2 linked regions of the Rhinolophus ferrumequinum genome follow. The protein of the gene in region 2 purifies or fractionates together with the protein of the main gene of each other region. This does not show direct contact. Links are inferred from orthologs where the notes say so. Each region holds a gene or a part of one and is shown on either strand. Other genes may lie near its edges.

Evidence for each region. The genes of interacting proteins can lie anywhere in the genome.
Region 1: the proteins of AMBRA1 (region 2) and DNAJB1 purify together in Homo sapiens (affinity purification with mass spectrometry, with the first as the bait; 3 studies listed by BioGRID). This does not show direct contact. The link is inferred for Rhinolophus ferrumequinum from reciprocal best matches to the Homo sapiens genes AMBRA1 and DNAJB1.

The regions. Positions count from the first base shown.
Region 1 is NC_046301.1:47,637,489-47,644,441, reverse strand, and holds the start of DNAJB1 (dnaJ homolog subfamily B member 1), read right to left. Parts: upstream 3,009-6,953; 5' UTR 2,898-3,008; coding exon 2,687-2,897; exon of another isoform or gene 2,643-2,686; intron 1,581-2,642; coding exon 1,003-1,580; intron 308-1,002; coding exon 77-307; 3' UTR 1-76. UniProt on the Homo sapiens protein: Interacts with HSP70 and can stimulate its ATPase activity. Stimulates the association between HSC70 and HIP. Negatively regulates heat shock-induced HSF1 transcriptional activity during the attenuation and recovery phase period of the heat shock response.
Region 2 is NC_046294.1:14,390,887-14,398,043, forward strand, and holds the start of AMBRA1 (activating molecule in BECN1-regulated autophagy protein 1), read left to right. Parts: upstream 1-4,136; 5' UTR 4,137-4,139; coding exon 4,140-4,158; intron 4,159-7,157. UniProt on the Homo sapiens protein: Substrate-recognition component of a DCX (DDB1-CUL4-X-box) E3 ubiquitin-protein ligase complex involved in cell cycle control and autophagy.

The DNA of each region.
Region 1 (6,953 bases), on a different chromosome or scaffold from region 2:
CCACTACTGGTGGAATGGTCCGGAAATCCTTGAGCTCTGGAAAGGTCCCTGGTCAGTCCTTGGGGAACGGAGGTGGCTACATCGGAAGAACCTGCTCAAGTTTGGTTCTTGACGTCTGGGGAATCCTTTCGGGAAAGATCACTTCAAATTCAATAATGAGGTCCCCACGTTTCTCGGGTGTTTTGGGGAGGGGGAGGCCTTCTCCAGGAACTTTTCGCCGCATGCCTGGCCTGATGACATCTTTGAACACGACGGGTATGGTTTTGCCTTCCAGAGTGGGGACGTTCACAGTACAGCCACACAGAGCCTTCGAAAGCAAAGTGACAGTGTTAGATGGAGATTACCTTAGGAAGCTCCACTCCTGCCCAGAAACTATCTGGGTAGAGTAAGAGCCATCAGACCTCTGTAGCTAGGCCCTGCCCTCCAGATCTACCCAGGTCATCAGCATGAAAGCTCCTGAAAAACAGAGTCCTGGCCAGCCTTGCTCCTGCCGCACCCCCAAGTCTGGAGGCACCAAACACTCAGAAATAGCTGTTAAACAAATACCGGGGCAGCTGGATGGCTCAGTTAGAGCATGAGCTCTTAGCAACAGGGTTGCCGGTTCAATTCCCACATGGGCCAGTGAGCTATGCCCTCCACAACTACATTAAAGACAAGGAACTGCCGCTGGGCAACCGGATGGCTCAGTTTGTTAGAGCGCAAGCTCTTAACAAGGTTGCCGGTTCAATTCCCACATGGAATTGAAGGAGGGCCCTGCCGTGTGCTGTGCCCCCCCCACCCCCAACTAGAATGAAAACTGCGACTGGACTTGGAGCTGAGCTGCGCCCTCCACAACTAGACTAAAGGACAACAACTTGGCTTGGAGCTCATGGGTCCTGCAGAAAACACTGTTACCCAAAAAAAAAAAAAATTAAGAGAGATATGAAAAAAAAACCCCAAACTGCTGCAAAAAGCGCTATCTGCTATCTCCCTCCACAGACACTGCCCCACCTAGTGCCTTACCTCCCGCAGGGTGACCCTGGCTGGGTAAATGACATCAGAGCCATCTCTCTTAAAGATATTGTGTGGCTTGTCCTTTAAAACAAAGACGATGTCGGCTGGAATGTTGTTGGAAGTCTGGTCTCCCTCCTTGGGGAAGGTGATTTTGGTCCCTTCTTTCCACCCCCGTTTCACTTCGATGGTCAGGATTTTGTCTTCATTGCGAATGCTCTTCCCATCGGGGTTCAAACGTTTATGGGAGATCTTCATCTTCTTGGTACAGCCGCTATAGATCTCTTCGAGAGAAACCCTAAGGTCATGGGTGACAGGGGGGTCTTGCTTTTTTCGGGTGTGCTCTTGGGCAGGGCGAGACCGTCCAAAGCTCAGGTTGGGGAAGCCACCCATGCCCATAGGGAAGCCAGAGAATGAGTCATCAATGTCCATGCCTTCCTCCCCGTTCCGCTGCCCAAAAAAGTTGTCAAATGGATTTCGGCCGAAGAACTCAGCAAACATGGCATGAGGGTCTCCATGGAATGTGTAGCTGAAAGAGGTACCATTAGCACCACCGCTGCTCCCACCACTGGGACCACCGCCCTTTAGGCCTGAAAGACAAAATCCCAAGAAGTCAGAGGACTGGCCAAAAGCTTTCCTTAAGGGAAAAGTGCTTGGGGGTCACTGGAAGAGAAATTTTTTTAGCCTCTCAGTAAAGAACAAGGAAGAACCTGAGCTTTTACCTCCCACAGTAGCAGCAGAGACAGATTCCCTATCCAAGTACTTCAGTATGGCAAAGCAGAGGTGAGGGAGCTCAAGCTCTGACATGACTTTTTTTAGGGCCCACCCACATCCTGCCACTTCTTCACTGACCTACCCTCCCGACAATAATACAAAGACTTAACAAAGAATTCACTGAGATCAGATGAAAAACGCACATCCAGGGCCAGCTTTCAGCTTTCTAATTCTCACACCCTGGCACCGCTGCCATTATCCTTATGTGAAAAGTCACTTCATTTGTTAACACCAAGCCCAAAAGCCAGCGTGAGTCATCCACGGGCAATTGGACAAAAAGGAAAGCTCCTTTTTTCTTTCCTGAGGAGAGCTACCCTACGAGGCTGGGCAGAGTGGGTCCCCTCCACTCCCTGCACCTGGACGGCCACTGTGGGCGCTGGCAGCCATTTGCTTCCCCGGCGCGGGGCTGGGTAAGCACTTTACAGGAATTAGCTCACTCTGCCCTCCAGGGGCCCACGAGGGAGATAAGGGACAACTGGCGGTCCCCTTTGCAGTCTCACTGGACGCAGGTGGTGGCCGGCTATCAGCCAAAGGCCTCGTCCTGCACCCCTGCGTGGCGGGGCCCCGCACCTCTCCCAGGTGAGCTGGGGCCAGGGGTACGCAGCGCCACTAGCTGAAGAAGCCTCCGTTCCCTTCTCCATCCGCACCCGGGGGCGATCGGGGACGTGGGCGGAAGCATCCAGGGAGGGGCAGCCTCTGACATGCTAGAAGCTTCTGCGCCAGCGGCACGGCCAGAGCTCCACCTCTCATCCGGCGGCTGCCAATCCGAGGACGGAGGCGCCCATGGCCAGAGGGCGGGGGATGCTCGCCGCCTGGGGCAGCCACCCCCCGCCCCCCCGGGATGCTGCAGCCTTGCCGCCGTGCCTCTGTTTCCCCACCTGTCAAACGGCGGGGGCGCGCCCCCGGCCGCGCGCGCACGCACCTTCTTCCCCGTAGCGGTCAAAGATCTCGCGCTTGCGCGGGTCGCTGAGCACATCGTAGGCCTCGGCGATCTCCTTGAACTTCTCCTCGGCGCCGGGCTCCTTGTTCTTGTCTGGGTGGTAGCGCAGCGCCTGGCGGCGGTAGGCCCGCTTGATCTCCTCGTCTGACGCGCCGCGGGACAGGCCCAACGTCTGGTAATAGTCTTTGCCCATGGCCCACGCCTGCGGTCCGCCGCCCAGCTGTAGCCGTCCCCAAGCTCCGCCGCCGCCGCCGCCCCGTCCCAGACTCTATATACCCGTCCGGCGGAAGCTTCCAGAGCCCGCCAGCCCCCTCCAGAGCCTTCCGCCCCGCCCCCTGCACCGCACCGACCAATCGTCGCCACCCAGCCCGCGACGCTTGACGTTCGTGGAGGGGGCCGCGCCGCCAACGGCTGTCCGCGCGTGGCCACGCCCCTTCCCGCTCGGTCCTCGGCAACGCCTCCCCACGGCGCGCGCACCTCGAAGGCCCTGCCCACCCTGCGCGAGTTGCCAATCGCGACCTGGTTGCACTGTCCGGGATGGCCGGGATGACCCCTGCCGCGCGCTTCGCCCCCTGCGTGGATCAAGAGGTTTCGACGCACTGCTAGGGAAGGGCGGCCCCGCCCCTTCCCCGGAGGAGGTGTACCTACCGGCTCGCATCTCACAGGGTCGGGCCCCGGCCAAGGACTTTGGGCAAGTTGGTGAATGTCTTTCTGTCCCAGATCCCCCTTCTAGGAATAAAAATACCCACCCGCCTTCTTGTCCCTGCAATGGGGAGAGTGCAATTGGGAGTCCTAGGACTATGCCTGTTTTCATCAGACAGGTCCCTCTGTAAAGCGAGCTGAGGACTAGGGACCAAAGGTCACTTCCCTGAGAGGTCTTCCCAGTCGCGCTCCTCAGGCCTTTCACTTCACCGTTTTCTTAAGAACACCTGCCAATAAAATCTGAAATTATCTTGTTCCGTGGTTTTCATGCTAAATGTCACCTGCCTCCCAGCCTGTGATTCCCACCTCCAGTGTTTGGCACCCAGTTGCAGTGGACACTTCATAAATATTTCTGGCTGTTTTGAATGCACCTGCTTCTTTTTCTCCATTACCTTTATGATTTGGGGGGACATGGGTGGGTCCTACACCTCTAGGGCCTCTGTTTCCTCTTCTATGGGGCACATGATTCCTTCTGGCTCTGAGAGTCTGAGGTGCCTGTGGTCAAGGACAGGGCTGATTGGGAAAGGAGGCTCAGAAAGGGGTACCACCTGGGAAGGGGGTAAGGAAAGGGGGGGTATAGGCAGTGGTGGCTGCTGAGGAGGGTGGTTCTTGGAGGTACTTCTTGGGAGGTCAGGGCTGTGTGACACTAGTTCTGAAGTCAGACAGCCTGGTTTTGTTCTGGTTCCATCACTTCCTGGCAGTGTGACTTTGGGCTGATTACTGAGCCATTCAGGGCCTCAGCTTCCTCATCTGTACAATGTGGGTAGTGGTTGTACCCACTTCGTAGGCCTTCGAAGTAGATATAAATCAACATTTGTAAAGTGCCTGGGATAGGTCCGGGAAGCACTTTCAGAGGGGTAACTAAACCCTCTTGTTGAATGGGGGGCTGCTGAACTACCCAATTCCTGGCAGAATTCCGGGCAGCAAAAAGTCCAGTGATTGCTGCCCTTGTGTAGGCTGGGACTCCTGAGGAAGACAACCAAGGCCTTCCCTGCAGTCCAGCAGAAGGACTCCGGCCCTCTGTGGCCACTCACTGACCCTGGGGTAACCGTGTCAGTAAGGACTCTAGACTAGGATATACACTGGCCAACCTGGGAGGATGAGTGTGGGATGGGTGTCCACAGGCACAGCATAGCAGGGGTCCTGAACCAGTCATGGAGAAGGGAGAGAGTTTGACTTTTAAAAAGTGACGTACATAGACAGCAGGAGAATCATCATGGAGAAAAACTCAGAGTTTGTGGACTTCGTCACACTTACATGCTACTGTGTTTCCCCACAAATAAGACCTAGCCGGGCAATCAGCTCTAGTGTGTCTTTTGGAGCAAAAATTAATATAAGACCCGGTATTATATTATATTCTACCCAGTCTTATAGTAAAACAAGACCGGGTCTTATATTAATTTTTGCTCCAAAAGACACATTAGAGCTGATTATCTGGTCTTATTTTCAGGGAAACACGGTAGTATTTACTTTACAGGATAAACTTAATTTCGAGTTAACAAATGTGATGGCCTTCAAAGATCTTCACATGGCTCTGGGTGTTGTTGTGTTTGGGGGCAACTTTAGGGCCTCCCCTTTCCTTTAATAAACGTGGCTCATGTTCAGGAAGTTTTCATTGTTTAACCACCCTTCCCCCAAAAAAAAACCCCACAAAAAATTCTCCAACACTTCTTTAGGATTCTTTGACCTGGACACTCACTGGGCACTTTAGAATGTTACTGGAAAAGTGGCTTCCACTTCCAGAAACCTCAGCAGAGCTTCAGCTCTCAACCAGAGAAGATGTGATGGTTAGTTTTATGCATCAACGTGGCTGGGCTATAGTACCTAGTTGTTCAATTAAACAATCAAAGTGTTGCTGTAAAGGTATTTTGTAGATGTGGTTAGGTTAACATCTCCAATCAGTTGACTTTAAGTACAGGGGATGACTCTGGATAATGAGGGTGGGCCTCATCCAATCAGTTGCAAGGCTTTAAAAGCAAATATTGAAAGGCCTTAAAAGCAAATACTGAGGTTTCCCTGAAGAAGCAGCGTCAGCTCCTGACCAAGAGTATGCAGCTTGCTGGTCTGCCCTACAGATTTCAGACTTGCCTCACCAGCCCCTATAACTGTGTAAGCCAATGCCTTGAAATAAATTGCTTAATACACACACACACACACACACACACACACACTCACACACACTCACAAACACATACAGCCTACTGGTTCTATTTCTTTGGTAGACCCCTTGCTGATACAGGAACTAAGCGGGTGAGTCTGGCATCAGTCAGCCTCAGTTGAAATCCTGGACCCACTGTTTACTTATTTATTATCTGTGAGATCTTGCACAACTTGTTCGATCTCTTGGAGCATTAGGTGTGTCCTCCATAAAATGAGGATAAGAGTAGGTCTTATCTCCCAGGGTTGCTATGTGGATGAAATTGAGGGACCAGGAAATGCACATTATAATAACAGTTAACATGAATATGACCCTACTGTGTGTCAAGCCGTCTCCAAGCTCAGTGTGTATTAACACACAATAATCCTAGGAAATTGGCCTAGTGTTACCTCCATTTTACAAGTGGGGAAACTGAAATTCTGAGAGGTCATGTGACTTGCCTGAGGCCACCCAGGGAGTAAAATGCTTTTAAGTGTACAGTGTTTGGCACACTGAGTACTTCTGGTAAGTGCAAGATGTGATTCAGATGATGATAAAACCTTAATTTAAAGAAAAAGCATCACCACTCTTTTCAACTCTTACTATTAAAAAGGCCTTCAAAATCATGACAGCCATATGAGCCAGCAATCCCAATCCTAGTAGAATACCCATGTGAAATGAAAATCCATGTTCACATAAAACCCATGAGCCAATGTTTATCAAGGTTTTATTCGTAATTACTGACAGCCATTAAAACCTAAATGTCTTTCAGTAGGTGAATGGATAAACTAATGTGATCTAGCCACACAATGGAATACTATTCAGCCATAAAAAGGAATAAGTTACGATATAGGAAACAATGAAGACAAACCTCAACTACATTGTTAGTGAAGGAAGCCAGACTCAAAAGACTATATACTGTGTGATGCTGTTTTATAGGACCTTCTGGAAAATGCAAAAGTATTGGACAGAAAGCAGATCAGTGGTTGCCAGGGGCTGGGATCTGCTATAGAGGGATACGGGGGAAATTTTTGAAATGATAGAAATGTTCTCTATCCCCACTGGTGGTGGTTATACCACTGTCTGTATTCAGAACTAGATACTGAAAAAGGTGAATTTTACTGTATGTAAATTATACTTCAATAAAAAACAAAGAGGAAGAACATAGAGGAAAGCTCCTGAGAGATGTCTGTGGCCCGGAAAAGGAATTGGTGCTCATCACTACGGGTAGTTTCCACTGGCTAAAACTCAGTCATATGGCCATATCTAACTGCAAGGGAGGCTGGGAAATGTAGTCTAACTATGTAGTAACTAACTATGTAGTCAGGAAGAGGAGAAAATAGGCTTAGTGATAAACTGGTTGTTTCTTCCATGGTATTGTATGATAATCCATAATGAGAACCTTGAATT
Region 2 (7,157 bases):
CCCTGCTTCTAACTTTACCATCCAGCCCAAAGTGTGTACATTAGCCCAAAGTACCATGAGGCCAGGCTACAAAAGGACAGAATAGAATTGGAACAGCAAAACCTACAACTGGCTCATTTTGGCTGCTCAAAGTCTGACTCCTCTTCTTGGACTTCCTTACAGAGGACTCCTGGTACTTCTACAGAGTTATCTCATCCTAAGTTCAGGCCTGATTTGTTTCTCAGAGCCCAGATCCAAGATAAGGAACAATCTCCTCTTTCTCCTCCCTTCACCCCTCATCCCAGGCAATGTACCCAGTTCAATATGTACCAATCCTCTTTTCCTGATTTAGTCTTTCCAAATTCTTTCCACGTGATTTACAGTGGCTGGGTCCATTCTTAAAATAACTAACTATCCCAGTTTTCCCAAAGCTTTCACAGTTTCAGCACTGAAATTCCTGTGTCGTGGTAAACCCCTACGTCCTCAGCAAATTGGGACAGTTGGTCAACCAACCTACTTTAGGGAAAATACCGTCTTCAAGGTGATGGTTCCCCAGGAGAATCCTCTGAGAATACAACAATCAACATAATAAATTATTGAGTCTTAACACCAATATGTAGGCATCAGTGGTGTATCCTAGGATGATCTTTTCTTCTGCTCACCTGGTTCCCTCTTTTCAGGTCTTCCTCCAGTGTGAGGAGATTCCATAGTTTTGAGGGTTTCAACTGATATCTTGTGATCTAGTCTCTGTCGAAATAAACGCCATAAAAACAAACAGCAGTGTATTGTCACATTGAAGCTTAAAGCTACACTTGAAACAGTCTTCTAAAAAAATTTATCTGTGAAGAAAACCAAAAAAGAAAAAAAGGAATAAAACAAAGGGAAAAAAAGAGAAATTTATCTGTAGAGATGCAACTCTGCCTGCAGGATAAGGCATCTTTTTTATGAGTTCAACGAGAAGCCTCGCCTGAGCTTCTCCAAAATCTCCATTTTCAGATGATGATTTAAGATTTACATTTGCATAACTTTCAGGTGTTTTTCCCAAAATGAAATCTCCAGCTTTTGAAAAACTGAAAATTTCTTGTAGCTTTAAAATTAGTTTCTTTAGCTTTTCTCACTGAAATCAAGGATTCAAAATACCGTTATTTGGGTCGAGTTTGAATGAGGGCTGTAGTTCTAGACATTTATGTCTCACAAGCCTCTCCAAGAAGGAAGCTTCTCTAAAGCACGTATTGTAGAGGTAGAAACTCAGCCCTGAGATGACAGCAAGGGAAAGTCTATTTGTCTCATCTGGCTGCAGCAATGTGTCAGAGACTACTTATTTAATTGTGACCTAGCATCCATTTGACCCTGACTTTTGGTGGGTACGTGGCTGCCCAGGATGAAGACTAATTCCCAGTTAGGTGTTGCTGTATGACTAAATTATGGCCAGCAGAATGAATGTAAGTGGAAATGTCCTGTGCTATTTTCAAGATATGTCCTTATGGCTAGGAGACATGCCTTTCCTCTTTCAGATTCCTCTTTCGGATTGGAATGTTGACATGATGGCTAGAGCTTGAGCAGCTGTCTTGGACCTGAGATGAAAGCTACTTACTGAAGATGTCAAAGCAACATGATAGAAGAAGCCTGGTTCCTGATACTGAACACCTTACCCTAGGCTGTACATCTCTGGATTTCTTTTGTATGACAGAGAAATAAACCTCTGCTTTGCTTCCTTCTTTTTGTTTATGTGCAGTAGGACCTAATAATAAATAATAAGGTTATAACTGCCCCTTTCCAAGAGCAGAAATGTTTGGAAACAACATACATGTTCTTTTTAAAATAAATTTAATTTTTATTTATTTTTTCGAGGAGTGCACAGTTTACAGTGGCCCATGCAGGAACCGAACCAGCAACCTTGGTTTTATTAGCACCACGCTCTAACCAACTGAGCTAATCAGCCACCCCCAACAACATACATATTCAATAATGGGGAGCATGGTCAGTATATCCACTCCATGGAATATTATGCAATTGTTAAAAATAACAACAATTAAAGACTTTAATAGGGAAATAATATAATGAAAAACAATAACACTATTGTATCTCTGCTGAAATTAAGCTTAAATAAATTGTGTAGGGTATTTCCAAGGGAATATGAACAAATTAAAACTTTGGAGGCAGATTATTTTTTACTTTTTTCTCTTTTTTATTTTTCCTTTTGTTTTTCTTTGGAAGCAGATTACTGAATTCTTTCTTTAGACTTTCATAAATATTGCTGCAACGTTCACTCATTTTAAAAGTCCCCTAAAACAGTGGTAGACAACAAAAGCCCAGTGTTTTGTCCTCATATTATGGATGCTGGTCTCATCCTGCGTTATACATATGAGTTGTCCCTTAAATATTTTCACAGACTTAAAGGAGGAGATGTAAAAAAAAAACACCAAACAACTTTTATTTATTTAAGTGTGTTTTTCCAGGACCCATCAGCTCCAAGTCAAGTAGTTTTAATCTAGTTGTGGAGGGCGCAGCCCACAGTGTGGGGATCACAAGGGGCACAGGCCCATGTGGGGATCCAACCGGCAAACTTGTTAAGAGCACAGCGTTCTAACCAACTGAACTAACCGGCAGCCCCAAGGAGGAGATTTTTTAAAATTACAATAAATTTCAAATAAAGCTAATGTTGTAAGGATGTGGTCTTTCACTTTGATTAGATTATACACTCTTTCAGGGCTGGGACTGGCTGCTTTTTATACCTTTACTTTCCAAGCCTCTTAAGAGAAGATGAATTATTATTGCTCACATTTAGTAATTCATATTTGTAGTGATCTATGTGATTTATTGAATTGTACCTAGGATGTACATGTTAATCCACATTTGTGCTGAGTATATTAGTTTGTCTACTAAGAGACCTCAGAAAGAGGCTATTGTGACGATGAACATGTCAACACACTTTGTCAGTTTCTGAACCCAGAGACTTTTGATCATTATTTAAGAAGCATATCTATGGTTCTAGGCCTTTGAAAGAAAATAAAAAAACAGTACGTGTGTTACTTTTTTTCTGCTTTAGGTCAGACTACACAACCCCTACTTTTCCCAGCTTCTCTTAGCTATGCTTACAGGACCTAAATTGGAGCTTTAATAGATTTTTCATTATGTGTGATATAATCAAATTTGTTCAATTGGGATAGTGTTGGGAATCCATAAGGTACTCGGTGAACTGTGTTAAGTGTTACTGTGCTAAGACTTGCTGTTCGACACTCTCAAGAAAAACTCCAATTCTCTAAACAACTTGGCCGGCAACCGACACAGAAAATGGCAGAAACACAGGCTTCTTTACTCCATGGCTTTTGATCTGGGTTTGTTTATTTATGTCTTGGACAGGAGCCGGACCTTGAGTTGGAGCGGATATGTTTTTCGGCGTTCGACTGCACTTCCTTGAACGATTGCGCGGGCACTCCTTCTTTGATGTCTGGGACGTTCGTGTATTCGGTGATCTCTTGCGCCGTCTTCTCGCTTGATGTCTCCTGAGCGGCGGCGGCGGTGGCGGCGACGGCGGCGGCGCCGGGTCGAAAGCTGACTTATCCGCGAGGCCCTGCGCTCGGGCTGCTTTCTCCCGCTGGTCTGTAGAGCAGACCCTTGCTTCATTCCTGGATCTTCTTCCTCTCTGTGGTTCAGGCCACCCGCTGGGCTGCAAGCCGAGCCCCCGCCCGCCTTTCAGGTAGGCCCGGGAGGAGCCTGGGAGGCCCGGCCCGGCATCCTTCCGCCGCGGGGTTGAGAAGACCTTGGCGCCGGCGGGTGGGCGGGCGGGTCGGCTGCGGAGACGCGGCCAGAGGAGGAGCTACCCGGCAGCGTTCGGGGGCGCGGTCGGAGAGGCGGCGGGGAACTGAGGGAGAAGCCGGAAGGAGGGAGAGGTGCTGAGGCTGTCCGGTGTGGTGCGGTAGGGAGGGGATTTGGGGTCTCAGGCGGGTGTTGGCACCCCCAGTGTGGGGGAAGATCGCTTTCCAGGAACGGATAGAGCTTGGTGCGCACTGACCCTCCTCCCTTTCTCCTCTCCCTCAAGGCTCCCTGTCAGGACTCTGGCACTGAGGACTCCTCCTCTGAGATCGGCCTTTGAAGGGACCCTTGAGTAGGTGGAGGCAAATGGAACCAGGCCCTCTGGCTTCTCTGAGCGAAGTGTCATGGTCTTGCCTTTTTTGGGTAGGGAAACTGAGGCTGAAGTCTGGGACGTGACTTTCCCCATATCCCCGACAGATCATTTCTTGCATTTACGAGTTCACTACCCCTCCCCCCCATTTTACCAGTCACTTTTTGCACATAGTGATTTCTCGTTTAATTGTCTGTGATCCTGCCTCCCTAGGAATATAGATTTTGTCACTGGAGGCTTCAGAAGTAAAGGGGCCATGCGATCTTTTGGCTGTTTTGCTTTCCAAAGTCTGGATTGTTTTCGCGAGAGGAGCAATGACAATTTCTTTCTGTTTCTTGATAGAAAATTTTGTTTGCTGTCCAGTTTGCTTTCTGGTTGATGTTTATTTCTTCTCCTTCCTTTCAGCCTGTTTCTCAGTGGACATCTTTCAACTAAGAAAAAGATGTTAAGAGGTTAATGTCCAGCAGAGGATGGTCAGCATTTTGAAGTCAGACATTTGTCCTGAGAGAGTTTGCTTTCTAGGAACAATCCAAAGGAAACCCAAAGAGCCTTTTTTCTGAACAGTTTTATTGTTTTTGATTAGTGGTTTAGTTACTGCATATACTAGAGTTACTGCATATAGTACTAGAGTAGAAATCATTCAAATATTGAGATTTTTAAATTGAAAGTTAACATCCTGGGAACTCCGTTATGTTTTCCTTTTGTCTCCAAACTTGGAAACTTTGGGGACTAAGTGTTCTTACTCATTTTATTTTAATTGGATTCAGTGTCATGATCCAAATTTGCTTAATTTATTTATTGAAAAAAATAATCAGCTGCGAGGTCATTCTAGGTTGAAGAAGTATTTCCGTTGTATGGAGGATCAGTAAGAGAATGGTTTTAAGGGAGAACAGACTAAATTCCCAATCCTTGGATGGAAACTGTACAAGTCTGTGTTCCTTTAACAGTTTTAGAATTTTCATAAATATATATATATATATATATATATATATTTTTTTTTTTGGTGAGGTCAGCAAGATTTAAATGAAAGGCCCTTGATCATGAGTGATTTCTTAGTTACCAGAACTTCAGTGCTCCTAGAAAGGGATTAACGAAGAGCCACCAGATGATGTTTATGGAGAATCTAGATTGGGAAGTTATGCTTAGAATGTGTGTTCTCTGAAAAAGTTTTTATGGTAGAAGAGAATTTATATCAGAGGAAATAATTTAGAGAAGGAGGTGTCATCCCCTGGGGATTGCTAGGTTCTGCATAGAATGCAGAGTTAATGTAGAATCTCAGTGACTCTTAATGAATGCTGAATAATAAATGGAGTTTGCTATGAGTGTCACAAAGAAATGTGAGAACATTTTGTTATGTTTCTATAGGAAATAGCAGAGGGTTAAGTTGAATTGAGGACAAGAAATTTGGTTGTGATGATGGGTGGTTACCGGGATCGAGCTTCTTATCAGCTTCTCCCTGCTTTGTGGTAGAAATGCACTCAACTGTCCCTTTCTTGGTTAAATCTTGTGTTGTTGTTGTTTATAAAAATGTATTTGAGCCAAACAGAGGATATACACCTGGAAGCGAGATCTCAACAGACTGAGAAAAATGCTTTAGATCTGTGGTGTTCTGTCAATGTTGTGTTCTGTCAGTGTCAGATCACTATACTGGCTTTCCCTTTCAGAATTTACAGACTCAGAATGTGACTGAATTATTTTGTCTTCTCTTTTAATAAGAAAGTTCTTAGGGGTTGTTAAAGATGTGAACTTGTTTAAATGTCTTCTAGGACTTGCCCTGGGAGGAGCTATGTGTATCACTTGAAAAAGGTTAGTTATGTATATCACTTGAAAACAAGTAGTTATTTCTATTAACAGAGTAACGACTTAGCTTTAATACTGTATCATTTTCAAAATACTTTCAAGGTGTGTTAGGAAACTTAGGAAACATTTTTGATCATGCTGCTTTTAGCTGTTTATTAATACTGAATCCATTCATTTATGATCTTCTAGGGTCTTCATGAATGTTGGCAGTTTATGTTGACAATTTATCTCACTTATCTCACTCTTAAAGGAATTGGAGAAAAGGTTTTGTTGTTAGCACACTTAAGTCTCTTTTTAAATGTATGTCTCAGCCTTGATAATTTTGGAATGGGAAGCCAATCTTTTTGCCCAGGGGTTTGGTTTACAAAAAGAAAAGAAAAGAAAAGACAAATAAATAACCCTTAAATTCCTTTAGTCATAGCCATTCTTGTTTCTGTCTCCAATTGTTCCTCATAAACCCAAAGAGAACTTTCTGTTTCTTGTCATAATTTCTGTCTATACAGAAGTGCTATGGTACAACCTGTCCTGTGATTTGGCGGTAATTTATGTTTTGTATTTTCAAGTCCCTTCTCCCCCAAGTTAGTTAGATCTATTGTTTTCTCTTTTTCACAAAGCTGAGTTACTGATAGATAAAAATTTTGTGATCAGTTATTGTCAGAATGTATTTATGTGCTCAGCAGTATGTGGCAGTCTGCCAAAGCGATGTGGTAAGAAGATTAAGGAATCAGGAGACCAGGGTTTAAGTCCTGTGCTTACCAGTTTATTAGCTGAATGATCTTGTATAAATTATTTAAGGAGACCGTAGGGAAGGTCACTGTCCTTTATTGAGCATTTACTATGTCATGTTCTTTACATATGTTTCTCATTTAATACTCATAATAGTCCTTTAAGGTAGATATTATTTTCCCCATGGGTACTGAACTCAGAGTACATAAGTTGACCAAGATCACACAGCAAGTATATACTATAGAGGAGCTGGACTTTAAATCCAAGGCTTTGAATGCTTTTATGAGTCTCTGTTTAGAGAACGAGAAAGCCAATACTTCTATCATAATAACTTATGTTGAAAAAAGTACATGAAGCTGCTTTGAAAAAGTTAAGTGTTCTTCAAATATTACTTCTGTGCTATCTTGCAGCAGCACTGGACAGATGTCATCTAGGTTCTTGGACAACTTCTTTCAAGGCAGCACTTTGCTTGAGAGTTAGGGAAGATAGAGGTGACAAACATCAAACCAGCGGTTGGAGGAGCTTA